3 linked regions of the Arabidopsis thaliana genome follow. The protein of the gene in region 1 interacts with the protein of each later gene in a pairwise test. Each region holds a gene or a part of one and is shown in the gene's direction. Other genes may lie near its edges.

Region 1 (10,448 bases):
CGATAAATCTTTTACATGCCCGTGCTTAGTAGCTGTAGTGGACATGTGGAGTAAAATAAATTGAGTAAATTGTTCTCTGTTCCTGCTATGAATATGGTTTCAACATGTATACGATCTCAAGCATAATGATCTTTACAAGTAGTCTCGATGCCTAGCATTTAGGCCACAGTAATAGTCTTTTGTAATGAGCAAAGTATACACCATTAATCATCTTCATTGTGCTGAAAAATACTTATTCCAGCTAGCTTACCTTTCTAGTACCTCTGGCTTATGGTTTTCAGGGAGCATGCACCATCAATCATCTTCATGGATGAAATCGATAGTATCGGGTCTGCTCGTATGGAATCTGGTAGTGGAAATGGTGACAGTGAGGTGCAAAGGACTATGCTTGAGCTTCTCAATCAACTTGACGGATTCGAGGCGTCAAACAAAATCAAGGTATGCCTTATGTTGTGAATGAAAAAATAGTCATGAAGCTGAAAAGGATAACTCTGTGTTACTCTGAATTTCGCAGACAAAGTTGTTAATTCTCTTAAATGACTGTTGCAGGTTTTGATGGCTACAAATCGTATTGATATTCTGGATCAAGCTCTTCTCCGGCCTGGAAGGATTGATAGGAAAATTGAATTTCCTAATCCTAATGAAGAGGTAATGCTTGTGTTTCTTAGGACATGATATTAGAAATAACTTTAAACTTGAAGTAGCAACTTTGCTCACTCCGTTGTTTTTGGTAAACTATCATTTACTGCGTAAAATACTTTTCTCCATACTTATTGTACCCAAAGTGAGGCAGGACGGTTTGGCTAATGTATATTTCTAATATGTGTTGCAGTCACGTTTTGATATCTTGAAGATACACTCAAGGAAAATGAATTTGATGCGTGGAATCGATCTGAAAAAGATTGCAGAGAAGATGAATGGTGCTTCAGGTGCTGAGCTGAAGGTAAGTGTTTCTCTGTCCCTGCTTCTGTCTTGTTCTCTCCAATCTGTCTCTCTCTAATGTTTTTGGTTATTACGGTCAGGCTGTATGCACGGAGGCGGGCATGTTTGCACTTCGTGAGAGGAGAGTACATGTGACTCAGGAAGACTTTGAGATGGCTGTGGCGAAGGTAATGAAGAAAGACACAGAGAAGAACATGTCTCTGCGTAAGCTCTGGAAGTAGGAATTTCAGAGTCACAGATTAATTTCGATTATTTCTTCTCTACTGTCTGTGGTTCTTTCTGAAACCTTTTCGGCTAGCGCTTTAAGCTTTTCTAAACAATGTTTGTACACTAGTTTCTATTCATTCAAATGGTTGTTCAGCATAACATCTTCGATTCAACCAAGCTTACATTTTACATCTTAAGAGTATATTCTTCTCCAACTCAGTCTCATTAGCTTAAAGAGAAAACCAACTAAAAGATTGTTTGAGACAAAATAATCGACATAGCTTTGTACCTGAGATCCACCGCTGAGGTCAATAGTGAGTGATTTGAATTTGGAGTGTACATTAATTTAGAAATTCAACCCATCTGGCATGTGTCAAGAATAATTTGAAAACTATCCGTTATGAACAATAAAAATCCTTATTGATGAATGGTGTCTATTATTAAAAATTGAGGTATAAATATGATAAAGAAAATAAATAATTTATTTTGTCAAAACCAACGCGTATATATTGTAATGAATTTAATTTCAAAATTTGCTAAATGTGAAAAAAGGAAAGAAAAATCAATGCCGATGAATGAGTACGCGTGGACCTAAAGCTAGAAAAAGATCCAACGGTGGAGAAAGCTGCGTTAAAATTGCAGAAGAACCAAAGAGAAAGAATCCAACGGCCAATAGTGTAGCGTCAACTCAAAGCCAAACCCTCCCAAATTTCTCTTTTAAAAACCCCAATCTCTCTCTCCCTCTCCATCTTCATTCTCCCTCTCGCCGCTTCCTTCTTAACACCATCGCCTGAATTCGCTCTCCTCTAGCTCGCGATTGCGAAAACATGGTACATGTTCTCTTCGATTTTACCGATTTCTTCTTCGTGTATTATCAGATTGTATACCTTGATCTAGGATTATCTCCGTCTCAGATCTCACGAGATTGCGTCGATGTTTCCATGTTCTAGTTTCTAATTTCGTCGTGGATATATTTTTCAGGCTCTACCTAACCAGCAAACCGTAGATTATCCCAGCTTCAAGCTTGTCATTGTTGGTGATGGAGGCACAGGTACGGTACTCTTCGCCGTGTTTTTTTTTATCGATTAATCAATGCTTGGATTTACGTTGATGGTGATTGGGGTGATAGAGATAGGCTCATATGCTAAGCAGATTTTGCTAGTCGACTCTTTATAATCCGTACTGTTGTATCCAGTGGCTCAATTGATTTCAAGTATGGTAATGTGTTTTGATTGTTTTGCTAAACCTTTGATTGCTTTTGGTGGTTGTGCAGGGAAGACTACTTTTGTTAAGAGACATCTTACTGGGGAGTTTGAGAAGAAGTATGAACGTAAGTATTGCTTGTGAATGTTCAGATTTCTGTTCTTCATGTCTCTTAAATGATTCTGATTTTGAGTCGTAATCTTGTTTGTTGCAGCTACTATTGGTGTGGAGGTTCATCCATTAGATTTCTTCACAAACTGTGGCAAGATCCGTTTTTACTGCTGGGACACTGCTGGACAAGAGAAATTTGGTGGCCTTAGGGATGGATACTAGTAAGTGTGGACCCTTTACTTTCTCATTGATAGGTTAGTGTCTAGAGTCAATCTAGAGTGTGCTTAGTTTGGATTAGCTCTGGTTAGGATTTGAAATTGGCAACCGATTAACCTGGACAATGGGTATAAGACTGGTATGTTTTGAAGTATGCATAGTTTGCAACTGATTTTGTTACCTGGACAAATAGAGTAGAACTTGAATTTTAATTTTGATATTCCATCTGGATGTATAGCTAATCATCTTTGAATTTCTTGCAGCATCCATGGTCAATGTGCTATAATAATGTTTGACGTCACAGCACGGCTCACATACAAGAATGTTCCGACATGGCACCGTGATCTCTGCAGGGTGTGTGAAAACATCCCGATTGTTCTGTGTGGGAACAAAGTTGATGTGAAGAACAGGCAAGTGAAGGCAAAGCAGGTTACATTCCACAGGAAGAAGAATCTGCAGTACTATGAGATATCAGCAAAGAGCAACTACAACTTTGAGAAGCCTTTCTTGTACCTTGCTAGAAAACTGGCTGGAGACCAAAACCTTCACTTTGTGGAGACACCAGCGCTTGCTCCACCAGAGGTTCACATTGACATTGCTGATCAGCAGAAGAACGAGGCCGAGCTCTTACAGGCTGCAGCTCAACCCCTCCCCGATGACGATGATGATATCTTTGAGTAAATCATCCTTCTAGAATGTCTGCCGTGGGAAGCTCTTGCTTGTTCCTTTTGGTTTTCTCTATGTTGTTTTGGTGTTACATATAAATCAATCGGTCTTTCTTATAACAAAAATTAGGTATGTATTTTTGGATGGTTCTTCTGATGGTATCCAAAGCTAAGTTGTTTCTTCGCAAGAATATTAGTTGATTGGAAAACTTTATTCTACCTCCTATTACTTGCCAGTTCTTAGATTTCAGATGCCACTCTTTAGCTACCAGGTGATGTCATATAAACCTGGGTAAAATTAGCTGCAAGTAGATCTTGTTGGGAGACCTGACCTGCATTGACAATGGTTAAGTTCTTTGCCTTCCCCGATCTCTCTAGCTTTGCAGATTCTTCTGCAATCCTCTTCCTTTTCTTCTTTGAAACTTGATCTTCTTAATCAATCCGCACCAGAACTTGTAGAATAATAATCGGATAACTTTTTGTTTGGCAACCATTCTTGCATTGAAGAATGAAGTAACCCTTTCCCTCAAATCAACGACCGATTTCAATCCGTGATTCCAGACATTTTCTTCAACCGTGAGCTCTAAGACCAATTTCTGCAAGTTTGAGCTTAAGAATTTATCGATGTGTATATTAATTTCTGGAAATATTGTTGGTATTAATATGTTACCATTAAATTTGAAAGGCATCATTAGATGGATGTCATGTGAGTGAGTACTTGAAATTTTGAAACTATCCGTTACGGACAATAAATCCTTATTTAAATGATTTGTTAGTAAAAAACTATGCTACAAATAAAATCAAAACTTCACATACGATACAGGAAATAAATATATTATTTATTTTGTCAAAACTCAAAACCAGGACCTAAAGCTGAAAAAAAAAAGATCCAACGGTGCAGAAAGCTGCGTAGATATTGGAGAGCCAAAAGATGGAATCTAACGGTGGAAAAAATAGCGTCAAACCTAAGCCAAAACCTCCCAAAATTCTCCTTATTAAAACCCCATCTCTCTCCCTAGTCCCTCTCGCCGCATCGCTTCTTAAACCTCGACGACATCAACGTCTGACTTCGCTTCTCCTCTCACATGGTGAACATTCTCTTCTCTTTTCCCGATTTCTTCGTCTTGTAGTATTTAGATCTCACGAGATCGCTTAATTTCGTTGATGTTTCTTTTTTCGGATTTTACTGAATTTTGTTGTGATATCTTGTTCAGGCTCTACCTAACCAACAAACCGTAGATTATCCTAGCTTCAAGCTCGTCATCGTTGGTGATGGAGGCACAGGTACAGTATTCTTCGCCGTGTTTTTTGACCTATTGTTTTTTGTGATCTCTGAAATTTGATCGTCTTTTCACTGTCCCCATCTGAAAGCATTCTCGTTTAAGAGACGGATTTGAGATTTTGATGATGTGCTGATTAGATTTGTACGATTGGTTTTTGATAATATCAATGTTTGATTGGTTTTAAAGAGAACCTTACAGACTAGGCCTTCGTTGAGCAGATCTTTGGGATATCGATTCTTAGATGATCCGGAATGTTGTTTTCATTGGCTCAGTTTTAGTATGGTTCAATGTTTTTGATTAGTTCTTGCTAAACCTATGATTGCTCTTGGTGTTTTGTACAGGGAAAACGACCTTTGTGAAGAGACATCTTACTGGGGAGTTTGAGAAGAAGTATGAACGTAAGTATAGCAAAGATGCTTGTGAATGCACAATTTCTGTGAACATCATCTGATGTTGAGTCCTAATCTTGTTTGTTGCAGCTACTATTGGTGTGGAGGTTCATCCTTTGGATTTCTTCACAAACTGCGGAAAGATCCGTTTTTACTGCTGGGATACTGCTGGACAAGAGAAATTTGGTGGCCTTAGGGATGGATACTAGTAAGTATACATATCTCCATTGATATGTTTGTGTGTATACTCAATCTAGAGTGTGTATAGTTTGGATTAGCTCTGGTTGGTTTGTGCGTAAAATTGGCAACCGATTTGTTACCTGGACGGTGGGAATAGGAATCGTATGTTGTTGAAGTAATCTGTTAAGATCTCAATATCTATTAAAGTTTGCATTGTTTTGATTAGCGCTGGTTAGGTTGTGAAATTCAAGAACCATCTCACATGTCATGTTTGCAACTATTGTTACCTGGACAATAGGAATAGCTGACTGGGACTTGAATGATAATGGTTTGTTTGATATTCCATCTGGATATATTGCTAATCTTCGGTTTTCTTGCAGCATCCATGGTCAATGTGCGATAATAATGTTTGACGTCACAGCAAGGCTCACATACAAGAATGTTCCGACATGGCATCGTGATCTTTGCAGGGTGTGTGAAAACATCCCGATTGTTCTGTGTGGAAACAAAGTCGATGTGAAGAACAGGCAAGTGAAGGCAAAGCAAGTCACATTCCACAGGAAGAAGAATCTGCAGTACTATGAGATATCAGCAAAGAGCAACTACAACTTCGAGAAGCCTTTCTTGTACCTTGCTAGGAAACTGGCTGGAGACCAGAACCTTCACTTTGTGGAGTCACCAGCTCTTGCTCCACCAGAGGTTCACCTTGACATTGCTGCTCAGCAGCAGAATGAGGCCGATCTTGCAGCTGCTGCAGCTCAGCCTCTCCCCGATGATGATGATGACGCATTTGAGTAAAATCTTCCAAAAATGTCTGCTGTGGTTTTCCTCTATGATGTTTTTTGAGTTGATGTTACATATAAATCAATCGGTCTATTTTAGAACCAAAATTGGGGGAATTATTTGGATTGTTCTGTTTTTTGGGACCCAAAGAGAATTTGCAGTCAAGTTTTTTCTGCCTTAAAGAATATGCGGTTATTGGAAAACTTTGATTCTACCCACTTTTCTTTTACTTTGCCAGTTGCAACATTTTAGATTTTGTAACTATTGTAGCTACTTGGTCATATGAATCAAACATAAAAGGAGAATATTTAGCTGTGCTACTTGAAATTGTTAGTTTAATCACTAGTGTTTCAATTACGTACACAAATCTTCTCATCTCCTTTTTTATGTATAGCTTTTAGGCCATGGCATGAATCATATATACATTGCTAGTCTTCCTCAAGTCCAACGCAAAGATAAAAGAGTAAAGATGATCAAATTTTCTTTCACAAGTTTGGAATTAAATCAAAAAACCTGAATGAAAAATAAAATGACATTTGTACAATCTACACTCAGTTTTTATTCTATGTAACACAAACTGTAGTTCTCAATGCTGCTGCTGCTGCTATCTGTATATAGTACTGTTATCGTCAGAGATAAGGTTTCTTATCTGCATCAGATGTTCCTCATTCGAAATGTTCAATTTGAGACGGAGATTTGTAATCCACGTTTCTTGTTCCCATGTTATGATTGGTCCGGATGCGTGCAATCTCTCGATACTGCTTCGGTATGCATCCAGCTCTAACCTATGAACATCAGCAGCCTCTGAGCCTTTTCTTGGAACCACCAACTTCTTGACCTTCCCGTAGCCACAAGACGATGACTCTGTGTCACTAGAGTTACCGGTTTCAATGGGATTGAATGAAACAGCACTGAGACCATCAGTATCCATGCAACAACTACCAACAGAAGAAGCAACACTCTCTCTATCTTCTTCTTCTTCTTTCACTTCTTCACGAAACCTTGGAGGATAAGCAGCTAAAGCTCTAGTTTGATTGTGAGGTTCAACCAAAGAGTAAGTCCGTTTCTTTAGACCTACTGACAAAGGTACATCAGACTCATCAAGCTTGTCTTTGCTCTCAGATGAAATGTAGTCGCCTTTCGGATTCACCTTTCTCCTTAGTTCTCCTGTTGAAGTCTGTGCGCTTAATCTTGATGTACCCTTCAGCCAAATGGTAAAATAAACAAAATGTCAGCTCAAAAACAGACTTTAAAAAGATATAGTCACAGAGGAAAGAAACAAGTACCTGTCCAATCATGATCCACTCGTTATCTTGCCAAGATTGTCTAACCCGAATATCGGATTTAGTCACCTTGAACTTCAGTGAGGAACCAAGTAATCTAACCAAGAAACAACCGTTTCCTAAAACCTTGGAAACGATTGCCATCTTCCACGAACAACTTTGGAAAACCTCAAGAATGTCACCAGGACACCAAGCATCAAGAACTTGTAAACGAGGAGGCTCAGGCCTCATACTCTTCCTCGGTACCCTCTCTGTACCATCATTATGATCATACATGACAGTGTAGTAATGCCCATTTCCTGATATGATCTCTGCAGACCGCCAGGCGCCAGATGGAACCGATGATTTGCTCAACACTTCGACTTTAGTTCCCTTGTTGAATCTCATGATTGCTGCTTCAAAAACACCTTAAAGTAAATATCTTTTCACATTCCAACTGCTTATAAAGATCAGAATTGAACATCACATATGCTAAAAGGCTGGTGCTTCACAATCATTAAGCAACAAAACAAGATAAATACATCCAAATATCCAGAAACAAGTTGGACCAATAAGATCCATTAGACTCATTCACATCCAAAAAATTCAACTTCAACCAATTGGTATAAAGATTACAGATTGTTTTGCTTCATAATCACTAGATTGCAGAAAAAGTCCTAAATTGCAAAAAACCAAATCCAGAAGCATACAATGGCTTGAAATGTTAATGAAATTGAAAACAGAGTATGACTCAGTTCCTAGGATCAATCTTCATTACTGAGAAATTGATTAGGGGAAGAGAATCAAAAATCTTTAAGCGGACATGAAGAGACTTAAAACTCAAAAATTCAAATTAAAAAAAAAAGAAAAAAAAAATAAATTTGAGATTGTGATTGTGATTACCTGAAAACGAAGTTTTAGTTTTTAGGTTAGTGAATGTTTAACACGCAAAGAAAGCCATGAATGATTCTACTGCCAGAAACAACAAAGCTTTGTTTTTTTTTCTTTGATATTTCTGGGCAACCAAACTTGGATCAAAAGGGCAAATAAAACAAAATTAAAAACGTATATGCAAATAATTATCAAAAGGAACAAAAAAGATAAATGTATATTCCACATCAGCAGCAGCAAGCCAAAAATCATTTTTTAAATGAAAATATTTTTAAGAAAATGAAGAAGAGAATATTTCAAGTTGCATGAGAAATAGCCTTTTTGTTTCATTTTATTTGATATGGGACTATTTTGTGTAAAATAACCAAAAAAAATGTAATTTGATAAGTGAGAATAACTTGATGGTTTGTTGGAAGATATGTAAAAGATTAAAAGTTGAATTTGTTATGTTTTCTTATATTTGAGATATCTAAAAGAGAATTGTTTCAACATTAATTAGACCTCTATGATTTGGTTTATTTTTCATAGGAGTGGTGTATAGCATTTAATTAATTCAATGAATGATTTTGATATGAGTTGACCAAAAGAAAAAGAAGATTAATTGGAAACATGATGTTGTAATCTAGGTGTTGATCAGCCTAAGATAACACTAAACATAACGAAAGTGCAAAATTTATAAATTTAATCACCTTATCTGAAAGTTATCATTATTTTGAGACTAACATATCCCTTGCTCGTCTTATTGGTTCGACATATCAAATACTTACACACTTATGTACGTAATTATAGGATAATCATAGTCTGTAATTCATAGTATAACAGTTTATCAATATGTATTGACGTTACGTTATTTGTTTGTTTCTAGGTGAGCACGAGCAAAGTGCGTGTTCCGGTGTGCCAAAAGTTTCGACATATTTACTTAATTTAAAAACAGTTATTAGAAAAAGAAGGAAAAAAAAACGTAATGGGGATGGTCAGGTCAGGTGGCTTTACATAATTCCCAATTCACTTTTGAGTTTTTGGTCATAAAAAATATTATCGAGATCGTAGGGTCCATATTTTTTGGCTTCTAACGATCAAATTTTATATTTTAGTTTGTCTTTCCCTTGCAGTACTTATTCATATCTTCTTGATTTCACAACGGATTGTGTCATCACCTGAACAATAGTGTTAGAATTATTTGAATGCGACTCCTAATGGTTCATAAGATTTTACAACTTTTGAATTTCTCTTTTTTGGAAATCATTATTGCTTCCTAATTGTATGAGCTCATGAATAAAGAAGGGTGTGCAATATTTTCTTCATACGTGTACTCAAGAACATGATCCAAAATCTTGTCTACTCGTAAAAAGTTTATAAGCAAAACACACTTTTGTTTTGGTTTTGGTTTTGGCTTTTCCGGATAAAATGAAGCAGTGTTTATGCTATTGCGCTTTCCACGCATGAAGCTTCACTCTTACATCCTTCACTCCTGATCCATTCTAACACCGAAGAACAGTCCTCTCGTCTTACGAAATGCCTTCATTAAGAGATTCAACCCATTACCAAACGAAGAAGAATTTAATAACCAAAAGAAAGCCTAATTTAGTGTTATGTTTGATCTTTGTACCTGTTTTTGGAGCGATACCCCTTTAGTTCAGAAGCTTCTCGAGAATCTCTTACGTCTTTGCTCATTCTTAGAGACTCCGGTATCTCCACCATCTCTGCTTCGCTCTCATAAGCATCGTATATGCATTGAAGTATTGAATCCTGCCAGAACAATGAATTATCACAATGCTTGGTTGATAGTATATAAGAGACTGAATAGAACAGAGAGAGCCCTCTTAAACATATACCAGAGGTTTGGAAGCATTGAGCCAGTGGTACATAGGCTCACACCGGAACCATGTCATTTGCCTTTTTGCAAAGTTTCTGCGTATCAAGCAAACCAAGTATTAGTTTAAAAGCGATAAGAGAGGATAACATGGGTTCTTTAAACTTTTGCAGGAGACAAAAAGTGAAGAAATGAATCAATGTGAAAGAATCAAAACAGAACTTCGACTTTCATTTATTCTCAATCACTATTTCGTCCAAAAGCTAATACACTAGATATTTCAAGTCTATGTAGAGGATTCACCTGGATGCTGTCTGAAATTTGTTCAAGAAAGCATAAAATTCTCTAGGGGAACTTTCGCCCTCATATCGACGACATTGTAATAGATATTCCATGGCCTGAAAACAAGGAATCATATTTCCATTGTTGATCAAAAACGGTATCAAAGTACGACAAATAAATTGCAATGATGAAGTCGTAAAGTATTTCATTTTTCCAACTAA
Region 2 (12,940 bases), about 15 Mb from region 1:
AAGGTGGCTCCTTTTTGTTTCTGGAGATGCGTTATTGTGACCCTTCTTTGAAATTTAGGGTTCATTTTCTCAGATTTCGAGTTCGTTGTGTTTGAATCTCTATTGGGTTTACTTTCTTATTCGATTTGGGGGAAATGGCTGATTGGTATCAGCTTGCACAGTCTATAATCTTTGGTTTGATCTTCGCTTACCTTCTCGCTAAGCTAATCTCTATCCTCCTCGCTTTTAAAGACGAGAATCTCTCACTCACTCGTAACCACACGACTCAATCGGAGTATGAGAACTTGCGAAAGGTCGAAACTTTAACTGGGATTAGCGGCGAGACTGATTCTCTTATAGCTGAGCAAGGTAGCTTGAGAGGTGATGAAGATGAATCAGATGATGATGATTGGGAAGGTGTCGAAAGTACAGAACTTGATGAGGCATTTAGTGCTGCTACGGCTTTTGTTGCTGCTGCTGCATCGGATAGGCTTTCGCAGAAAGTTTCTAATGAGTTGCAACTTCAGCTTTATGGATTGTATAAAATTGCTACTGAAGGACCTTGTACTGCTCCTCAACCATCAGCTCTTAAAATGACTGCTCGTGCCAAGTGGTTTGTCTAACACTCTTATTGATTCTCTGATTCAAATGTTTGGGACTGTGAAAGATGATTGCTTGATCATGTTTACTTGTGATGTACTGATGTTTCTTGATCATGGATGTATATTATTTTGATTTCACCAAGTTCGTATCTTTCATTGCTAATGTATGGAAAGGATTGCTTTTGTTGGTGTATTGATTAGTGATCTGATTCAAATCTTATGACTGTGAAGATTGTTACTTAATCATGTTTACTTGTGATGTACTGATTATTCTTCATCCTGGATGTATCTTGCTTTGTGTGAGTACCGAAAGGATTTGCTTTTGTTGTTTTGTTGATTGGTAACTTAGGGATGCATTTTGATCGACTGAGATTTGTTATGATCTTTTTTGTTCTAGGCAAGCATGGCAGAAATTGGGTGCTATGCCTCCTGAGGAAGCGATGGAGAAGTATATCGACCTTGTTACTCAGCTTTACCCAGCTTGGGTTGAAGGTGGCTCGGTTAGTTGTCTTCTTACCTGCTTCTGTTATTCCCATTTCTTTGGACTGTTTATGGATGGTCTGTTTTCGTTCTTAAATCTGTCTTTATTTCTTGGCTTGTTTGCTTCGTTGCGGACTATTAGAAACGAAGAAATCGGAGTGGTGAGGCTGCAGGCCCCATGGGACCGGTTTTTAGCTCATTGGTGTACGAAGAGGAATCTGACAATGAGTTGTAAGGTTCCTAAGCAATTAGTTACAGATTCATCTATGAACTTTTGGTTTTCTTTTCTCAGTTTCTCTATATGACTAGCTGACTAGATCAGAGAAGGAATGTATATATCATAATACTCACCTTAGGTAGATCAAAGAATCATGTGTTAGTTTAAATCATAGTAGAAGCTCTGTTCATTCTTGCGTTCTTACTCCATGTTCCAGGAAGATTGACGCCATACACGCCTTTGCTAGAGAAGGAGAAGTCGAGAATCTATTGAAATGCATAGAAAATGGCATACCCGTAAATGCAAGAGGTTAGTAGTCTTGTATCATTTTCACAGAATGTTCGGATCTGGTTTGGAAACTTAACAGTTTCTCCATCTTGGAAATGTCAGATAGTGAAGGTCGAACACCACTGCATTGGGCTATAGACCGTGGCCATCTTAACGTTGCTGAAGCTCTGGTTGATAAGAACGCAGATGTGAATGCTAAAGTAAATAAATAACCAAAACCCCCTAAACTAATTCTTTCTCTCAATTACAGACTTTTATGTTTTTGTCGCTGACAAACTTTGTGCAGGACAATGAAGGCCAAACCTCTCTACACTATGCTGTTGTGTGCGAAAGAGAAGCACTCGCCGAGTTTCTGGTGAAGCAGAAAGCTGATACAACCATTAAAGACGAAGACGGAAACTCGCCTCTTGATCTCTGTGAATCAGAATGGTCTTGGATGCGAGAGAAGAAGGATTCCAATTAGTGTTTTTTAAGTCTTTAAAATTGTGTGTCAAAGCTAGATGCTTGTGTTTTTCTTACATTTCCTCTGAGCCTCTTTGCTTCCTCTTAAGCTTATGTTTTAACATACAACAACACAAGTTACATATGATATAGTAGCTCTAGTTTTTATTGGTTACTATATTGAACCCAGAGAGATCATCATCATCAATCATCATAACTCAATAATAGTTTTTTTTTTGTTAGTATAATGTTTCTCTCTTTCGTTCGTGACCCTTTCATGTTTTTTCAGCCATCTGAATCATTATTATCATACCTGTAAAACAATTTTGTTGATTACTTGTAAAATTTATAAGTATTTTAAATATGATACAAATTGTACCTTCGGAATAAGAAAAGAAAAAAAATCTTCTTCTTCGCATCTCGCTGTAAAACAATCCGGACCGTTGATTAATTAACGATGAGAATATATAAGGTGGGGTTCAGATAAGGACCACCCAACACGCGATGTACGACATAATCACTCCAGATTATATCAATTCTTTAATCAGAAATATATTTTTAGTGTGCAAAAATCATAAAGAAAAATATTTTCCCTTTTTATATATATATTGGGTAATTCAGATTTTTTTCTATTTATGTTTTTATTTGAAAAAAATAAGATACACTGAACAAACAATTATGATTGGAAACAAATTTTCATATTTAGAAGATTTATACAACTTTTTTTTAATTGGGTAATTTTAAAAGATATTTTCCTATATATAGTTTTTATAAAAATATTAGGATACACTGAACAAAACCTAAATATACAATTGAGTACAAATATATATAAGTTTGGAAAACAATTTCAAAATTAATAGATTTACATAATTTGTGTTCAAAACAGTTTTTTTATTTGTTTATATAAATATTTGGTTAAAAGTTTAATAATAAAATTTAAAGTCCATCTTCACATCCGATTCTTCTCTTCTCTTCTCTCTCTCTCTTCCCTTTTTCGCTGGAACTGATTTTTTTCTTCTCTCTCTCTCTCTCTCTTCCTTCTGGGCTTCTAGGGTTTGTCCTCTCCAGTCCCCGATTTCCGCTTTATCCGATCGGCCGCCGCCGAGATTCTAGGTTACCCTTCTTCACTTCATCTATTCAACTTTCTCCCTAAGATCCATCTTCAGATTCATCACTTCCCAATTCGCTTTTTTTTTTTCCTGATTCGATCTCGATTCGTTCAATCATCCATTTCCAACTTTAGTTTCGATTTGTTCACTGTTTTATGATTTGAACTCGTTCGTAATCTGAGATTTGCTTTTCGATTTTTTAGTTAGATTCATTTGTTCTATTAACTTGTTGATTTGGTCATCTTAGTAACTAGTTTGATTTCGTGTTTTATATTCGATTTCGTGCTCGGATCTGTTGTTCTGGCTGTTATAGTTGAATCTGACAGTGTTTTTAAGCGTCAATGGCTCGTGCTTTGATCTCTTATTGCTATTACATGGTTTTTTCGATTCATAGTGATTTAGTAGTCTTTCACCTTTATGGCTTTTTGGATCGTTGACGAGTTTCTTCATGTTGTTGGCTTAATTTACTGATTCTGTCTTACTTCTTCTTTATTTTCAGTTTTGCTGAATCTGTTTGTTTCTGTTGCAGATAAACCTATGGCAATGGAGGTTACGCAGTTGCTCATTAATGCTCAGTCGATTGATGGAACTGTACGTAAGCACGCGGAAGAAAGTCTTAAGCAGTTTCAGGAGCAAAACCTTGCGGGTTTCTTGTTGTCGCTTGCTGGAGAGCTTGCGAATGATGAGAAGCCAGTAGATAGCAGGAAATTAGCTGGTTTAGTCCTTAAAAATGCTCTTGATGCTAAGGAACAACACAGGAAGTATGAGCTTGTTCAGAGATGGTTGGCTCTAGACATGTCAACAAAGTCGCAGATCAGAGCTTTCTTGTTGAAGACACTGTCGGCACCTGTGCCTGATGTTCGTTCGACTGCATCTCAGGTCATTGCTAAGGTTGCAGGTATTGAGTTACCACAGAAGCAGTGGCCTGAGCTCATAGTGTCTCTTCTCTCAAATATTCACCAGTTACCTGCTCATGTCAAGCAAGCCACTTTGGAGACTCTTGGATACCTATGTGAAGAAGTGTCACCTGATGTTGTTGAACAGGAGCATGTAAATAAGATACTCACAGCTGTTGTTCAGGGTATGAATGCTGCTGAAGGTAATACTGATGTTAGACTTGCTGCAACCCGTGCTTTATACATGGCTCTCGGATTCGCCCAAGCAAATTTCAACAACGACATGGAGCGTGATTATATCATGAGAGTTGTGTGTGAAGCAACCCTGTCCCCTGAGGTGAAAATTAGGCAGGCAGCTTTTGAGTGTTTGGTATCTATCGCTTCCACATACTATGAGAAGTTGGCGCATTACATGCAAGATATATTCAACATCACAGCTAAGGCTGTAAGAGAAGATGACGAGTCTGTTGCTCTACAGGCAATTGAGTTCTGGAGTTCTATTTGTGACGAAGAGATTGACATCTTAGAAGAATATGGTGGTGAGTTCGCTGGGGATTCTGATGTTCCATGCTTTTATTTTACTAAGCAGGCTCTCCCTGGTCTTGTGCCTCTACTGCTGGAGACTCTTCTGAAGCAAGAAGAAGATCAAGATTTGGATGAAGGGGCTTGGAATATTGCAATGGCAGGTGGGACATGCCTCGGTTTGGTTGCTAGGGCAGTTGGAGATGACATTGTTCCACATGTCATGCCGTTTATTGAAGAGAAAATATCAAAGCCTGATTGGAGAGAGCGAGAAGCTGCAACTTATGCTTTTGGTTCCATTTTGGAAGGCCCTTCTGCCGATAAGTTGATGGCAATTGTTAACGCAGCGTTAACATTTATGCTCAATGCTCTAACAAATGACCCAAGCAACCATGTGAAAGACACAACCGCATGGACCCTTGGTCGGATATTTGAGTTCCTTCATGGTTCAACAATCGAGACACCTATTATTAATCAGGCAAACTGCCAGCAGATAATCACAGTACTCATCCAGAGCATGAATGATGCGCCTAATGTTGCCGAGAAGGCTTGTGGGGCTCTGTACTTCCTTGCTCAAGGCTATGAGGATATCGGTCCCAGTTCTCCGTTAACACCCTTCTTCCAGGAAATTATTAAGTCACTTTTAGCTGTTGCACACAGAGAGGATGCAACTGAATCACGCTTGCGGACTGCAGCATATGAGGCATTGAATGAAGTTGTCAGGTGTTCAACTGATGAAACGTCTACCATGGTTCTGCAATTAGTACCAGTGATAATGATGGAGCTTCACAATACTTTGGAAGGGGAAAAGCTTTCATTGGATGAGAGGGAGAAACAAAACGAGTTGCAGGGACTTCTATGTGGATGCTTGCAGGTCATCATACAGAAATTAGGATCTGAACCAACCAAGTCTAAGTTCATGGAGTATGCAGACCAAATGATGGGACTTTTCCTGAGGGTGTTTGGTTGTAGAAGTGCAACTGCACATGAGGAAGCCATGCTTGCCATTGGTGCTCTTGCTTATGCAGCAGGTCCCAATTTTGCCAAATACATGCCTGAGTTTTATAAGTACTTGGAGATGGGTCTTCAAAACTTTGAAGAATACCAAGTGTGTGCTGTTACTGTTGGTGTTGTTGGGGATGTCTGCAGAGCATTGGAGGACAAGATTTTACCTTATTGCGATGGGATTATGACACAGCTTCTGAAAGATTTGTCGAGCAACCAATTGCACCGATCAGTGAAGCCACCGATATTCTCCTGTTTTGGTGACATAGCACTTGCTATCGGTGAGGATTTTGATAAGTACTGGAGGTATTCAATGCCGATGCTTCAGAGTGCCGCAGAGTTATCTGCTCACTCGGCTGGAGCTGATGATGAAATGACGGAGTACACAAACTCATTGAGAAACGGAATCCTTGAGGCTTATTCAGGCATATTTCAAGGTTTCAAGAACTCCGCCAAAACCCAGCTCCTGATTCCTTTCGCACCCCATATCCTCCAGTTTTTGGACAGTATATACATGGAGAAAGACATGTAAGTTTGGTTACGACCCAACTGAATTTCTATTATGTCATAGCAGTTGTTTAATTTTGTGGTAAAATTGCCTTGGGACAGGGACGAGGTGGTGATGAAGACAGCGATTGGGGTCTTAGGAGATTTAGCAGATACACTAGGGAGTCATGTGGGTGGTTTGATACAACAGTCAGTGTCAAGTAAAGAGTTCTTAAACGAATGTTTGTCTTCTGAAGACCACACAATTAAAGAAGCAGCCGAATGGGCGAAGCATGCCATAACCCGTGCCATATCTGTTTGAAGGCTCTTCTTTTGCCTATAAGAAAGAAAATTCCTTTTGCTTTTTAGTAAAGTCTGCATGCATCTCTGGGTGGGTTGAGTCGGTCGGGGGGAGGGGTAGAGCTGCAACATCCGAGTCACATCAGCATCATCAGCATCAGTTTCATTTGCATCATCAGCATAACTGGGGTCAGTCAGGGAATCGTTGAGTCGTGGATGTGGGGAATGATGAGTTTTGGGGTAAATAATGAAACTGGAAGAGTCACGGGTGAAAGTTTCCCGGGTAAGGTTAAATCCCCGGGAGTAGAAAGAGGAGGAAGTGAGTCATGGTCGTTTTCTGGTGGGTTTTGGGACAAAGTTATACCAAAAAAAAAAAGGTTTCATGGAACATCTCATAATACATTCTTGTTTTTTCTTTTCTCTCATATGTTCTTCAACCCCTTGAGGAGGGAGAGGTCTCAGGTTTTTATCAAGTGGGGGCATTATTAGAGGACAATCCCTTGATTTTTTCTTTTGTTTTCTTTTATTATTTGGTTAGTTGCAGTCTTTGCATCATCATTTTGTCTTTTGGGGGGGTTTGTATGTTTGATTAAAAGCATTATTCACATTTTTATTTTTATATAAAGAAGTTTCACATGTCTGTCTATCTTCTCTTTGCTATGATGCAGTTTAGGGGGTTTTGCATATATACTTGTGTTTTGTTTGCAATCAAGTTTCAAATGTCACATACAGGAACATTTTTATTATATGGTGTCATGTCTTAGGGTCTTAAAGAGGTCCACATCTATTCATTTTACTATGGAACTGTTTACAATCGTTTAGAATCCATTATTTGATTTGGCTCGAACTATATGGGAAAGGGCACATGTTAATAGGAGAAAACGTCCTGCCTTACTCTGCTTCCAAAGAGTCAAGTTAAGAGATCGAAGAACATTTCACATTCACGCTGTTTATGGAAACCTCAATTTTGATTGTATGTGTTGCTTTTTTTTGGTTTTCCAAACGCCAAATGCAACTGATACCGAACCTATATTTTGAAAAATGTTTTCATGTGTATTTGAAACATTCTAGACCATTCAAGTTATGGTTTAAATTAGTTTCTCTCGGTTCTATGTATTAGTCCCAAACCATGTTTCTGACGTCTCGAGAATTTTTCTCTTGAACTAAATATATAATGTCATAATTCATTCGACATATCTTTTTCGAATTGATGATTTAGGCGAGAGAAACGTTGGTTCTGTTGGTATTTTTTTTTTTTTCATTGTGATGACATACCCATTTAAATCTCACTCAAATGGACAATAAAACACATAAAAGATAGATGATGGCTAAACATCCAAGAGAAATAGGACACGCCACTCTGAATTGAAATTGGGAGTTGAAAAAGAATGGTGGTAATACGAAGTGGGCCTTTTTTATTGTCAAAGGACTTGTCCAAGCACACCCACATATATCACATACACTGATACACACACAAAAAAAAAAAACATTTTTGTCGTCCGCGACGATTTTTTTCATATTCAAATAATTTCATTACGGCGTTAATACTTTATTTTGCGACTTTAAACTTTACCTTTAGTCTTTAAATGCAATACTGAAATAGCACCGAAAGATATATGAGCGTCGTCAGCTGAAACTGCCAAAAAAAGGAGAAAATCTTACGATCCAAGTTATTAGTCAAAAGAAACATAATTATTGATTAAAGCATGAACTTCTTGCGACAAAAAATAACTCCAATTTTTCTTTCAATAGCTATTATCTAACACATTTTACCTTAAGGTTACGGATCAATACATTTTTAAAAATAATAATGATTAGTAAATACTTTCTTAGAAGATGAACGCCATTAAAGAAAACTCTGAAAAAAAAAAAAAAACGGATGTTTTTTAAGAAAATTAATTCGTTTAGTAGGACAACGAAAACCTAATATATAAGCTAATTTAATGGATAAAAACTAGAACTTTGGTTCAAACTACATTTATAGATCTAACTATGCGTTCTCATTGCCTGATGGCTTTCATTTTTTGATGTTGTTCCTTCTAATGTTGATACGCTCTTAAGCGATGATGTTATTGGGTATGTGCGCCTAAGGCAAGTAAGTTTGTAATTTTTCTTATAATTTTTAGTCTCCCGTCTTCTACAGAAAAAAAAACTACACTTATGAGATGAATTGTATATTAAAAATTTAAAACGAAGGAAATATTTAAGAAAAGTAGTGAAATTATTAGTTGTGGGTGTCTCGTGATTTATTATTCGCGTTGTAAACTATGTTAGTATTGAAATTGTGTTTTTGTTCTCTTTTTTTTTTAACTAATAGACGTACGTTTTTTTTTTGTCAAAGACTAATAGATGTACGTTTCGTCGTCTTTCTGTGTAGTTGACATTGGACAACAGAAGTTAAGACTTAAGACACGTACGTTGTTGCCCAATAAAACATTGCTAATTTAGTGGCTCATTGGTTTCTTATTCATCACTCCTTTTAAACGCAACATATAATTGCCGACACATTGATTATTTCCCTACTCACGAACTTTCCCTTTTTTTTTTTTTTTTTTGTGAAGTCATGCATAGTCTTCGGACAGAAGAGCTGCACGTACATGTGTTAACTGTTAAGTGAATAATGTTTTAGATAGTACAACGATTCTACTTAAGCAGTTTAGCTGGTTTAATGTACGTGTAGTCTATATTAGTTTTTATCATATTCAGATGCTGAAAAAGAATCTGTTTCATTTTATTTTTTATAGAAAACTGCAGATATTTACTTGGAGGTTGTGAGAAAACATTTTAAGATGGAAATAATTAACCAGTTAAGAAAGTTGAAGTGCGAAACCATTTTTTTATATGAAAGGATCTATAGAGGGGATTTATAAAGTCTTCTAATCTAAAATATATGGGTTATGGTGCAATACACACACACATATATATAAGTATAACCATTCATATGGTGACTTTTTGGGGGTAAAAGTTCTTTAGTTTTTGGGATTTAGTAGAATTATGGATTTTAGGTCAAAACACATAATGTTATGAGGAACGATGTTTATTAATTGTAAAATAAGATTTTGGGGGATAGTGGTCTCTCACTATAATAATGGGTCACTTAAAAAGATGCACTTCTCTGATACATTTTGCAGGCCACTCGCTATGTCTGTCTCAATCCTAGTTGACTTCTTATAAAGTTGTGAAGGCCGAAATGGAAGGATTAGTTCCACTATTTCTCTTTATTTGTATCAAATTATTTAGTGTTTGGTACCACGGATTTTAAAATCTGCCCTAACCATCTTTTGACTTCCTAATTACTTACGTTATTCCCCTGTCTAGGAGTTGCCTACCATGTTGGTTTATGTGATCGAAGTTTACTGAACTTAGTCTATCTATTTTGATCCCTGTAAAATTTACATTGACCGCAAGGAAAATGTTTTGATTCCACATTTAAACTTTAATTTACTAGTACTGATCTTTGTTCTAATATGTCAACTGTACATGGTGTATTTAAATATAACAACCAAAATTTCAAACAGAAATTGGATTAAAAGGTTTTGAAAATAATCATTGGATTAATAAGTGTGTTCAAGTTTGGGTATTTGTAGGGTCTTTGTTTGAAAAGTGTGTACCCTTGATACAAATCTTCGCTTTCGTTTTGATTCATTAACAGCATTGAAAACTTACAATAATTACGTACGAGTTTGGTATGATTCCATCTTTACTTTTGATAATGGACCCAATTATCTTAGCAGAATTCAATTTCCAATAAAATTTTGCGTCAATAAGTAGACTTAAGATCACACGTGGTGCTGCACTCATCGAACCTATGATACATTACAGCTGTATGGGAAAAAGTGGTGAAAACAATGGGCTTAAAAGTTAAAACTTAGATTAAAATCGATCATGTAACCAGAATGAAACTTTTCCTTTAAGAAAATATATTGGTTTTGACTAAAATCATCTAAAATGAAACATCACTTAGAAATAAGAACTAGTATAATAGAGAGTGTTTTGAGATCAAACCGATTAAAATTGTAAAATAAAAAAAAAATGTTTTCTTTTTTTAATGAAACTCAAAGGATATAATGAAAATTTATATGGTCAAGAGATGAACTTCCACTCAAGTTAATGAATTAGGTCACTTTTCTTGCATCAAACAAACCTTTTTTCATTATGATTTGATCCACATATATAACCTTTCGGATGGCTTAGGGCACAACTTACTCTAATTCAAGTATTTGATGGTTCCCACTTCACTTGGTTCACAAACATTTACAGTTAGTAATCTATACTCAGATTTAACTTGTTATTCCTAATTACATTTTCCTATCTGGCAAATTAACAATATAGATAAACTATTTATCTATCATCAAAAATTGATTGCCAGAAGAAAAAAAGGCTAATTAAAAGAAACGTCAACTTTTTGTTTGGTAGTTAAAGTTTTGTGACTTTTGTCTATAGTATATCTAGTACGGTCTAATTAACATAATCATAAGATAAAAACGATATACAGAATTTGAAATTTGAACAATGTCATGCTATAAGGAAAAGTGTGTTAAGAAAAAAAGTGAGGTTACTAGCTAATATACGATTTTTGTCCACAAGCATAAATAGAGGTAAGCGTTAAGTGTTCCTTTTTGGGAGATGTAACACAATCAACAGTTAAGTTGACTTTTTCAACCTTTTCTAGGGTTTGTGGCCTGTAGGTTCATTGCGTTAACCCAATAACTTCTTATTCTTCTCATTTTTGTTCTTGCTACTATCATCACCATTTTGATGTTAGTAGTCTCACCACTGTTTTCACCTTTTTTTGATAATTGTTTTGTGATATATAAAAAAAATCGATATCTACGTGATATTCTTATTTTAAAAAGTTATATTGATAAGAGCTTTACATATTTTCATTGTCATAAACAGAACCAACCATCTTAGTCATGGTCATCATCATTGTCATAGTCATCATCATCACCATTACGACTAATATTATACATGGACCATAACAGTTTCCACCACATTAACTTGACCGTTTATAAAATGGGAACTAACCTTCCCCATCTTCTCATATGAAAATCCATTTTGTCCTCATTTTCCATTGATTAGTTGCATTCTCTCCCCTAAACGAACAAAGAGTAATCATCAAAAACCATATAATATGCCTCTTAGGATTGAACCCCTATCTCTACTCTTCCTCATTCTCATTATATGCTCTTCATCATTAGGTAAACATATAATTGATATTCATATATTCCATCCTTTTCAATTTATAGTCTTTTAACTTTGTTTTAAGGGATGACTATCAACCTTGCGTCCCAACACATCCATCTTAGTCCGAGATCAGCTTTTGGTATTATCTTGTTGAACATTAGTCTTTTCTTCGTTGTTGAATCTAGTGCCTTAAACTACCTTAATACCATTGATTATTAATTACTATTATATTGGTGAACACTTTTTCCATTCTTTCTCCAAAATTAAAACACATCTAACTAACTAGTATGGGTTGAAATAAATAAGTCACTTAAAGAACAATGTATATTCCGCTAACAGAGTGTTTTCTTTTAGCCATAGTGGAAGGCTCTATCCAGCTCGACGGTGCGAAGATGCATGAGAGTTCCATGCTTTACAAGGTATACATCATACATGTAGATGCTTTACGTTTATATATGTTCTTATCAACATTAGAAATGTTGTTAATGTCCAAATATTGACAAGAATTTATGTGTTTATAATTAAAAAGAGTGAGGAGGTGGGTGTGAAGAAGATGGGTCATAGGAAGTTGATGTTCCACTCGACAGCGGACTACGACGACGCAGGACCCAACCCTAAACACGACCCAAGGAGAAGGCCCGGAGGCAAGGGTTGAATCATCAACACAGAACTATCTCTGTCATTATATATATAGTAGCATATATATAAGCACATGCACTAATATCTATATATCATATATGAATATGTATGTGATGTATCCTCCATTCTGACTCTTTTTGTTTGAGGATGAGCTCAGTGTAAAATACCCTTCGGAAACCCGCTAGTGAAAGGATTAGTGTCTAATAACAAGACATAATAAATCCTTATTTATTATCATCTTATTTCATTGACATATATAATATAGCCATTATATCCTGTGTAATCGTTATATCAGAAAATAAATAAAGTGTTATGGTTATTTTTAGTTCTGTATAGTATTATTATAAATGCGTCTTCTACAATATTTCACATTAGTTGATGATTTCAATCTTATGCAGTCAAACACATAGTAAAAAACTCTTTATCAGCATGATCACTAAACGAAAAAGAAATGAAGACAGATTTTATGCTTATCATAGCTAAAACCTTATATGTCGCTATTACAATAACATAGTACAAATGAAACAAGATTGCAATGGTTGATTTAAAAAAAGAAAATATAAAACTAAAATGAAAAAACAAATATAAAATTAAAACAGTTGCGCATCCAGGGAATCGAACCCTGGTCAGTACCGTGGGAGGGTACTATGATACCACTACACCAGATGCGCTTTTATTCATTGTCTCTTCTCTTACATATTTATAGCGAAGACTAGTTACTATGGTTATACATATTTCACAAGCATACATAAAATTCACATACTAACACTTAAATATGTCTATGTAAAT
Region 3 (9,801 bases), on another chromosome or scaffold:
TTCAGAAAATATTCATGGGCATAGGTGAGAGAAGGAGGCAACATAGTGGCCATTTCGATACTCACCTAGAACACCATTCATTGGAGTTCTGATTTCATGTGAAACAGTGGCAAGGAACTGCATAAAAAAAAGTTAGATTACAACTCTTCTCTCTGTCATAGAAAGTTTAATATGCTGTGGAAATTTATCAACTGAGGATGATGTATTTACCTGTGACTTTGCAACATCTGCTGCTTCAGCCTTTTTCTTGAGCTGCTTCATTTTATCACAATCTTCTTCAACTTTGTGTATTCGACTAACGGTTGCGTGGATTATATGTGCAACAAGTAACGCAATCACAAGGATACCGAATGATGTCACCATTGATAGCACTGGCCATGGTGGTTTCTGCTTAAATCTACAAAGAGGAAGAAGCTCACAACAAAATGTTAGCACCTGGATTCTTGCAAACAAGAAGAAATTACAGACATATGTATGTGCCAACTGCAAGTACCTGCAACGCATCTCATGCTTTCTCAATGGATCGCCAAAGATTAGTGGACTAACACGTTCCAACCCATCAGCCGACACATTTGTACCATACATGCTAATCGGTTGAGAGTGATTGGTGATATCGTACACATTGACAAGAATCGTTTGCTTGCTAGCCAGCTGTTGAAGCAAGTTTTCTACCAGGGACTCAATGTCAAACACTCCCCCGAGATACCTTCAGGGGCATCAAAAGAGATGAATGAGCAAAAATAATGTTGTAAAACTTATGCGTTATTATTTATTTAGACGCCTATGCTACACACCCGTTAGTAGCCTCAATTCTCTCTTTTGGCGTTGCATTGGAGGGGAGATCTCTCTTGTACACTGCAAATGTCAGGATCACCCCAAGTCTATTTGTCTTTATCAATGGGAAAGGAGCTGTCAAAACCCCTTTACCTGAACTCCTGGCCCGCAAAACGTTTTCACGATCTTCCTATCAAGAGGAATTGAGTGAGAATAAGTATCAGTTAAAACAGTGCTCTAAACTTTAAATAAAATGATCAAAACAACTTAATCGGTAAGCCGAGATTGAAATATGAACTAGCCATGTCGGCAGGATTCGCCCGGTAGTGAGTGTAGACCATGATAGTAAATTACATAAAAACAGTAAAATTAGAACCAGTAAAGAAGCTTACTTTCCCAGACAGCATATCGAGAGAAACAACGTGAGAAACAGTGTCCTGAGCAAAGATGACTGGAGCGTACTCTTCTTGGACAGGGGATGGTTCCAAAGCTTCCAGGTCATAGTCATCCTTGTGAACTGGGTTTTGTTCAAGAGAATACATCTTCCTAATAGTCCAACCTTGTTGCCTCTCGAACTCTTCCCTCTCTGAATGGAGCACCCTCATAGCATAAGCTACCCCGCTAGTAAGAGGCCTCTCAAAGGAAGTTCTATCAGTGTACTCTGAGAATGTTCTCTACACAAAGCTTCTTAATGTTAGTTACTGTTCACTAATACTCAAGAAGATAGGAATCAAGCTACCAAGTGTTAGCTAAATACAAAGACTGTAAGCAACAATCAGCAAAATTGTAAATCCTAACTGAAATTCGAGAGCAAGTTGAATGAAAAAAGCTACCATCATCCAAGGACCGTTCATATACTACACCGTAGGAACAACTTATGTACTACAAGCAAGACTAGATCTCAGGCATCAATCCAAACAGATTAGAAGACAAGAAGATGCGGAATCGAGAATACCTGATCGATAGCAGAAGGAATCTTGCCATGGTGGAAGGTTGAGATCAAGATAGACATGGCTTGAACATGATTCATGCTAACGTTGAACTGATCCTGCAGCATACGAGCTCTCTCATCACACATACTAGCTAGCGTCTCTTTCCTCTTCTCCATAGCTTGCGAGCTAAAGTACCAAAACGTCCAAATAGAGACCAAGACCCAGAAGACAACCCAAACCACCACAAGCTTCCTCCACCACGCCTTGTTGAATTTAACAGAGCCAAGAAACTGATAAGAGAAACTCGGGATCTTGAGTCCGCTGCTAGAGATCTTATTCCAGAACCACATCTTGTTCTTCTTCTTCAACGTAGTCATCTTAGTCTTCTCAAGATCACCGACAGAGCCAACTAAAAGACCAGACTTGTCCTCGATCCCATTATCAACGAACCAAGAAACAAACCAGCAGCATAGCATCCAGAAGAGATGCCCAATCTTGACACCAAACCCTAGCACATGGAACAGACTCATCCACCACTTGAATACACGATCAACCCCCAAGAAACAGAGTGATTGCAACCAGCTCAATTCAACTCAGCAAGAAGCTCTAACAACCAAACAGAAACCATGTACAAAAAGGGACGAATCAGAGAATCAAAAAGGAAGAATTTTTTGGGGTTGGGTATTTAATAATTAATCCTTGTAGGCTTCCCACAAACGAGAAGAGAAAAGGAAAGCTAAGACAGAGGAACGTGTCAGATTAGACAACCCAAAGGCTGAAATTGAGAGATCAAAGTGGTTACTTAATCAAAGATGACGAAAGATAAGAGAGAAGAAAACAAAAACAAAATAAACAAAGGTAGAAACTTTGAACAGGAGCTTAAAGTTTCCAAAGCGAGATTCCTCGAAATCTAAAACAGGAAACTAAAATTCTACAAGGGGAGTACGAAAATTCGCTAGAGCTTGCTCCAATACAACAGAAATCTTTGAGTGTGATGATGATGAGTGAAAGAGAGCGAATAAAGCAACGAGAAGAAGAAGAGGAGCTGGAGACTTGAGTGAATTATCAAATGGAGAAACTTAAGAAAGAGGAGCAGAAGTAGTAGTAGAAGAAGAAGAAGAAGAAGAATCTATCATCGGAAAAGATGAGAAGAATATGGTGGAAGACAAATGTCTGCTTCCTTCTCTCTCTCTCTCTCTCTATTATCTGATTATCTTTCTTTTCTTTTTTCATTCATACTTCCATTAATATATATTTTAATCTTAAGCTGCTTATGTACTCCTAAAAAAAATACAGATAAAATTCAAACACAAAAAATTATATCCTGCTGATGATGATGTTAAAACTCGATTCTAGAAGAAAAATGTTCATAGTTGAGATTCTTTGAGTTTGTTTAGTAAGATCTGATTTTTATAAACAAGTTTAGAACCTCATTAATACTACTATTAATAACACCAAATGATTGGTAAAATAACTTACCTCTATTTATATATAAAAGAAAAAACACTAAACGGCGCAGGCAAAAGAAAAAAAAAGGCTAAAGGGACCCACAAGAAGGGAACAAAGGCATATATGGTCTCAGTTCTCACCCTCCAATAATAAAAATAAAAGGCGTGTTACAATTTATTATTATGAAAATGGTTTTTTTGCAGTAGTTGGTAAAGTGACCAAAATTGTTTGGCCATTTTATCAAAACTAAACTACACAAAAGAATTATACAAGTTAGTTTAACCAAAGCTTCCTTCTTTAGTCAAATAACTCTATATATATAACTCGGTTTGTTTTTTCAATTTCAACATACACTTTCCTTTAAAGAAAAAACAAATGGCTAAAACAAAATACAGAATCATTTATTTTCTTGGTACGTCATCTGTTTTACACGTGTCGATATCTTAAAGCATAATCATTTCATTTTGTTTGCAATTGCTTACATAAATTTATTTTTTTAAAATGGGATTGCTTGAAAGTTGAAACACACCAATCAACGGTTGTTCTCTCACCCATGAATCATGATCCTTTTTCTTCCACCTCGATCTTCCAGATTCAACACATAGACATAGGATTTAACTCATTTTGTTTTAGATCTTTTAGAATTTAAAGGATTACTTTACAAGTTATATTATAAGAGACTTTCTTTTTATTTCACAAAGATAAATGTTTTAAATTTTCTATCCAAAATTAATATTTCATTTCATAATTTTCCATGTTAGTTAAATGCTTTAAAATATTATCTTAGTTATATCAGAATTTGATTAAAAATCTTTAAATGGTGTAGGAATCAAATGAAGTTAGTCAATTTACCAATTGAGCTATACTGTTGATTGTCCCATATATTAACGGGCCCAACTTGAAAAATATAAGGCCCATTTAAAGTATCGTCAAACACTCATTTCAGTATCTCTAGTCTTGGTCCATTCGTATAATTTTTCAGTAAATTATCTAACCCTCTCGATCCTCTCTCGCCTGTTGAAAAAGCACGACGCAAGAGCTAAGGATCAAAAAGGAAGACGAAGAAAGAGATGGATCCAGACGCTGTTGCAAAGGCTTTCGTTGAGCACTACTACTCCACCTTCGATGCAAATCGTCCAGGGTTGGTTTCTCTATACCAAGAAGGATCCATGTTGACCTTCGAAGGCCAGAAGATCCAGGGCTCTCAGAACATCGTCGCTAAGCTCACCGGCCTCCCTTTCCAGCAGTGTAAGCACAACATCACCACCGTCGATTGTCAGCCTTCTGGTCCCGCCGGTGGTATGCTCGTCTTTGTCTCCGGCAATCTTCAGCTCGCTGGTGAACAACACGCTCTCAAGTTCAGCCAGGTTTTTTTTTGCCTTATCTCTTTCCCTTGGGTTTAGATCACTTCGATTTTTAGTGTTTCCTTTGTATTCCTCGCTGTTGATCATGTACGATAGGGTTTTTATCCTTACTGCTCTGTAGATTGATGTGTGTATTAGGTCACTAAAAGCTTCAATGATCTGGAATTGTCTCGAAATTTTAGACCCTCCCTGATGCATTTAGTGATAGATCTGTGATAAGGTTGGAGATAAAAGAGGTTTCCCCCAAATGATTGCGTAGATCAGTAGATGTAATCTTGTGTCATTTAGATTTTGTCTTGTGGAGCTTCTATCTCCTTGCACTTCGTGAATGTAGTATTGGGAAACTGCTTTGCCATGATTCTGCTAGTTTTTTTCAACTATGCTCATATGTGATCTTGTTGTAGTTGTAGATATGCCACCTTCTTGATTAAATTGTCTCAACTCTAAATAGTTTGAGATGCTTGCAGTGTTTGTATCATCTGCCGTAAGACATTGTTTTCTCTTTTTAGTGTTGAACGCTCTTTACTAGATTTGTTCGATAAGAGATGTTTTTGTCATTTTAGTTCTTCATATCAAGGTACTAATTGTGTTTTGTTATCATATTTGTATGAACATCAAACTTGTGGAATGTATGTATAGAGCAAAGTGGGATGAATTTCTGTCAACTTGACCTACTTGTAATGAGCTACGTATGCATCTCTTGTGTTGTGAATCACGCACTGGATCACTATATGATTGTAACATAAATCTGATGACTGCTTGTTGTTTGGATTTTGCCTGATTCCTGACATACTTGTGTTTTGTGTCCAGATGTTCCATTTGATATCGAATCAGGGAAACTACTACGTGTTCAATGACATATTCAGGTTGAACTATGCCTGAGGAATTTGATGCCAGAGGTACATGGAACCATTATTGGAAGCTGAAAAGAGAGTGGTGGAAAGTTTGGGACTATTCAAAAACTGTTTGAGTTGGTTTTAGATTTGGAACATTAAGCTTTGTTTCAGGTGGTTTGCTGTCTGTTTTTATTTTAATCAATGGAGCTATTTGTTACTTTGTTTGAGATGACTCCTTTTGTTTTCGGGCACTGAACCATGATTCAGTAAGGGTAAAACAAAAGATTTTTTGAAATACGGTTCTCTTTTGGAACCCTTTTTCATGTGGAAAAGTTTGAGAAAGCAACTATTCTTTCGCATTTTGATCATATAAAAGTAAACTACTTATACTAAAAGCAAAGAAACAATGAGGGTGACCCCTGTTCCTAAATAACAACTGGTATTATTGAGTCACAAAGGGAAGCTATCATTCTTCATCGTCGAAACCGAATTCTCGCAACAGCTCGGGCACTTGAAGTTGAGGTCCAGTGTGTGATCCATTCCCATGGTTGTTTTGGTCATTGGAGTTGGAAGTCCCCGCAAGTTGGTTCTTGATTGGACGTAACTTACCTTTGAACATTCCATTAAGCATACCTCCGATGGATCTGACTGGGTGGCTTATTCTATCTTTCAACATGAAAATCATGGAGTACTCAGAGAGCTGCCAAACCAATGTCAGGATGATCGTAGCCGAGAGAAGTACATGGGTTATTTTGTTCTGCTTCTTCACCTTCTTGATGTCTTTAGCTATTTCTTCTATACTTTCTTCCAATTGTCTCTGGCCCTCGCTTTTTCCTTTGGATGGTGAAGAATCTGCAGATTCTTCTTCTTTTTCTTCTTCTTCTCCGGTTATGACATCTTCTTTCCCCTTGGGGTTTGGTGATTCCAACTAAGTTATTGGCAAAAAAATTAGCACAAGCCTGAAATGGACACATCCCAATACAAATAATGTTGTGGACATGAAACAGCAACTAAACACAATCATGAAGATAAGCTTGTATTTGTTGGATCTCATCAAAATCGAAGCAGACACATCACAGCGAAACAATTACACAGACTCACTCAAATACTCATGATTCAATCATATACCCAGAAAGTTGATTGGCTGCAACATCAGATAAATCAACAAAGGAGAAAACAGAGCGATGGTAAAGTACCTGAGAGATAAGGCTAGAGAGGAAAAGCTGATCATCAGCGTCTTCAATGAAGGCGTCACCAGAAGCTTCTCTCTTCCTCTTCTCATGAAGAAGCTTCTCAATAGCTCTACTCAGATTCTCCACATCCTCACTGGACTCCATTTCACAAACCCTTCTTCTCTAATCTCACCGCCGCTCCAAAGATGCGTTTGTTGTTTATTGTGTTTTTTTAGGTAGAGAGTATTTTTGTTTGTATTGAGAAGGCAAGTCAGGACACGTGACATCTATTGACGGCACGGCACCTCTACCATTTTTGAGCAATTTGACATTGAGATGTGCAAATAGCGTATAGTCCTCCACTAAATAAATATACTTAAACAATAATAAAACATGTAATAACACACACAACTCTGCACGACTAAACCTCGATTCACACTAGATTCCGTGTGAACTTGAAGAGACAATTATTTAAAACCATAAAAGAGATCAAGAATGAGCAAATATTGTAAGAAGATTTAAAGGAAGAGATATCAACACAGAGTGTTTCGAAAATGCAAGGAAATCGAAAGAAGTGCAACAGAAATCCTAAAATCTTTTTGTATGCTTTAAGAAATGATCATGTTACATAAAAACGACATACATGAAAGCACAAATAACAAGGCTTCTCTATTTCTAACAGTAGTTAAATAGAAAAATTCTTTTTTCGAAATGTAAAGAAATATAAAACTCCCTGATATCCACATGATTTTCCCAAACCCCCCCAACAAAATACAGATAAAGAACATAGAAAAACTCTATCGGATATATGTGTTTATATAATCAATCCTTCTTCTTCTTTTTTTTGTTCTGCTTCGCTCTGCTCTGCTTCCGGATGATGTATAGATTCTTCACCTCTGTTGTTTAATCATTTCACAGAAGCTTCCATTCTGCGAATAGACATGTCAAACACAAACATTATTGCAAGAACATGAAACTAATACAAACATAGGTTTAATTTCAGACAACAAAAGTAATGTGAACATGAATAATATGATCCACGAGGAAACAAAAGAACAATATCGTTTCAGTCAAAGACAGAACAAACATCGGTGTGCTTTTCAATAAAACCCTAATTCGAACCTCCATTTCTATCAAAATAAGGACAGAACCAAAACCCAGTGGAATCATTTCTAGATGATCAATAAGGAAACTTTGGTTAAAATCTAAACAGATCCGAGACGAAAGTAGAAAGCTTGAATCATTGAAACCAATTTGACAAACTTAACCCTAAAATTCAACAAAATTACCAGAAATCTCCTTTCCGGAAGGAGAAGGTGGCGTCAAGACGTAACAGAGAATCGACCTCCCGACCATAGAAATGGCAGAAACGATGCCAGCGACATAGAAAACCAAAATCAGAGCAAGAACCCAAGGCATCAAGAGAAACCCGATGAAGAAAGTCACAGATCCACATAGCATAAGAGCCACAGATATACCAAGCAGCAACGACGCGAATCCAGACGGAGAAATATGAGCCAAAGAAGGCGAAGAAGACGAAAAACGATGCGAAGAAAAGGGAGGACGAATTCTAGCGGGCGGATCGGGGAAATGATCAGGTAAAGAAATCGGCATAGGAGGAGAACGGAGAAGATTCAAAACAAGAGATGATAGATCGTAGAAAACCCTAGATTGTTGTTCATCTCGTTGCCTTCTCATCATCACCACACAAACCAAAAGAAAACACCAATCTAATCCAAAAGAAAAATTGCTTGAGGAAGAAGATAACTAAAGGGTTTGCTAAAACCGAGGCGAGAAGATAAAAGAAAGAGCCGCAAATTTGATTGGGTTAGAGGGAAGAAGGTTTAATGGCGATTGCCAACAAAACACGATAATCTCTCTGTACACACAACAAAAACGATCGAAATTTCTGCAATAAAAGACTTTTTTTTTTTTATTAATGAAAAAAATCTAAAATGAAGAATCGTCGTGTTTTGGATAACGAGAAAAAGTAAAGGGAAGGAGCGTGGGGACACGCGATGGGGTTGGCGAGTGAAGAAGGGAAAGAGACAAAGATGGGACCCAGTTATGACGCGTAGTTGGGTCTTATCTTCTACCACATTCTTATCTAACCTCTCTCTCTATTAAATTTGTTCCAATCATACCAGAGAAGTCGTTTTCTTGTTTGCTTTTTGTTTAATTTTTTTGGTTATTTAATTTTGACTTTCGTGTATAATGTTCGTGAATCAAATAAAGACTGATAGCTTTTTGCGAGAATGACCGCACTTTAAGCTGTCTATCGCTGAGGTTCAAAAATCAGGCTACTTGCTGTTGGAAAATGAAAGGATTTGTGAAATGATTAGTAGACTCAAGATATTATCATTAAGGTCCATGATGAATTATTCAAACAAATTAGATGAAGTTACCATTCGATTAAAACCCATTTAAGTTTCACAAGTCATATAACTAAAATTGTTTTGCTCAGGGCCCAGTATGAAAAATCAAACCAAAACTAAGAAACAAGTGAAAGTGCAAAGCAAAATAGCCCACAAAGAAGAAACATAAACCACGAAGCAGCTTCGGTTGCCCTTTAATGAGTTCAGTTATCTATGGAAATACAGATACTGATGACAAGCAATTGCAACATCAATTCAGAGAAAGAGAGAGGATTACAAATGTGAAGCAGAAGCCCTCCTATTATTCTAGTAACAGAGCTTATCCAGTGACCTCTTTTACTTATTCAGTTCCATCTAAAGAGCTAAGCTTCGATCCAAAAAGAACACACATGTTCAAACATGTGACGCATTCAAAGAAACAGTGGCAGCAAGAACCTTGAAGTATCGCAAATGAAGGGAAAGTAAGCACATGATCAAACTATAGTATTGAAGGCTGAATAATTCATTAGATGATATAATTACAATATATATAGGGACTACATTAGAATGAATTAGGGATTAATGATTTACTAAACTATCCTTTACTTATATACTCTACATGCCCCCTCAAGATGGAGGGAGTTTGCTCACTCCAATCTTGCTTGAAAACTGAAGAAAGTGTTGACGAGGCAATGGCTTGGTTAGAGCATCGGCAAGTTGGTCATGTGTTGATATGTGAGAGACTCGTAGTGCACCGGCACTCACATTGTCGCGAATAAAATGATAGTCCAATGCTAGATGCTTCATTCTTGAATGGAAAACCGGATTTGCAGAGAGATATGTGGCACCAACATTGTCACAATATATCACAGGCATCTTTGGTAATGTGATGCCTAACTCAGTAAGAAGAGAGCATACCC

Evidence for each region.
Region 2: the proteins of RAN-1 (region 1) and AT5G53480 interact in a two-hybrid assay, tested with the Arabidopsis thaliana proteins (one study listed by BioGRID).
Region 3: the proteins of RAN-1 (region 1) and NTF2A interact in a two-hybrid assay, tested with the Arabidopsis thaliana proteins (one study listed by BioGRID).

What each region holds. Positions count from the first base shown.
Region 1 is NC_003076.8:6,758,388-6,768,835, forward strand, and holds RAN-1 (RAS-related nuclear protein-1), read left to right. Parts: upstream 1-1,706; 5' UTR 1,707-1,976; coding exon 1,977-1,979; intron 1,980-2,130; coding exon 2,131-2,200; intron 2,201-2,422; coding exon 2,423-2,479; intron 2,480-2,566; coding exon 2,567-2,684; intron 2,685-2,942; coding exon 2,943-3,360; 3' UTR 3,361-3,943; downstream 3,944-10,448. Other genes in the region: AT5G20000 (AAA-type ATPase family protein), read left to right, coding at 282-438, 550-648, 833-943, 1,023-1,163; RAN2 (RAS-related GTP-binding nuclear protein 2), read left to right, coding at 4,430-4,432, 4,559-4,628, 4,969-5,025, 5,107-5,224, 5,577-5,994; AT5G20030 (Plant Tudor-like RNA-binding protein), read right to left, coding at 6,584-7,180, 7,266-7,649; IPT9 (isopentenyltransferase 9), read right to left, coding at 9,552-9,651, 9,742-9,881, 9,968-10,043, 10,249-10,343. UniProt on the Arabidopsis thaliana protein: GTP-binding protein involved in nucleocytoplasmic transport. Required for the import of protein into the nucleus and also for RNA export. Involved in chromatin condensation and control of cell cycle.
Region 2 is NC_003076.8:21,710,363-21,723,302, forward strand, and holds AT5G53480 (ARM repeat superfamily protein), read left to right. Parts: upstream 1-2,882; 5' UTR 2,883-3,120; intron 3,121-3,645; 5' UTR 3,646-3,653; coding exon 3,654-6,067; intron 6,068-6,148; coding exon 6,149-6,347; 3' UTR 6,348-7,516; downstream 7,517-12,940. Other genes in the region: ACBP1 (acyl-CoA binding protein 1), read left to right, coding at 135-592, 979-1,081, 1,204-1,292, 1,496-1,587, 1,669-1,766, 1,853-2,029; AT5G53486 (uncharacterized protein), read left to right, coding at 11,460-11,526, 11,595-11,651, 11,867-11,931, 12,042-12,167. UniProt on the Arabidopsis thaliana protein: Acts as a negative effector of drought tolerance. Involved in the regulation of stomatal closure and in the abscisic acid (ABA)-mediated pathway that lead to drought tolerance.
Region 3 is NC_003070.9:9,480,215-9,490,015, reverse strand, and holds NTF2A (nuclear transport factor 2A), read left to right. Parts: upstream 1-4,013; 5' UTR 4,014-4,225; coding exon 4,226-4,522; intron 4,523-5,329; coding exon 5,330-5,401; 3' UTR 5,402-5,700; downstream 5,701-9,801. Other genes in the region: HK3 (histidine kinase 3), read right to left, coding at 66-117, 211-397, 494-706, 795-964, 1,167-1,448, 1,730-2,236; AT1G27300 (uncharacterized protein), read right to left, coding at 5,822-6,283, 6,552-6,692; AT1G27290 (uncharacterized protein), read right to left, coding at 7,440-7,456, 7,817-8,228. UniProt on the Arabidopsis thaliana protein: Facilitates protein transport into the nucleus. Interacts with various nucleoporins and with Ran-GDP. Could be part of a multicomponent system of cytosolic factors that assemble at the pore complex during nuclear import.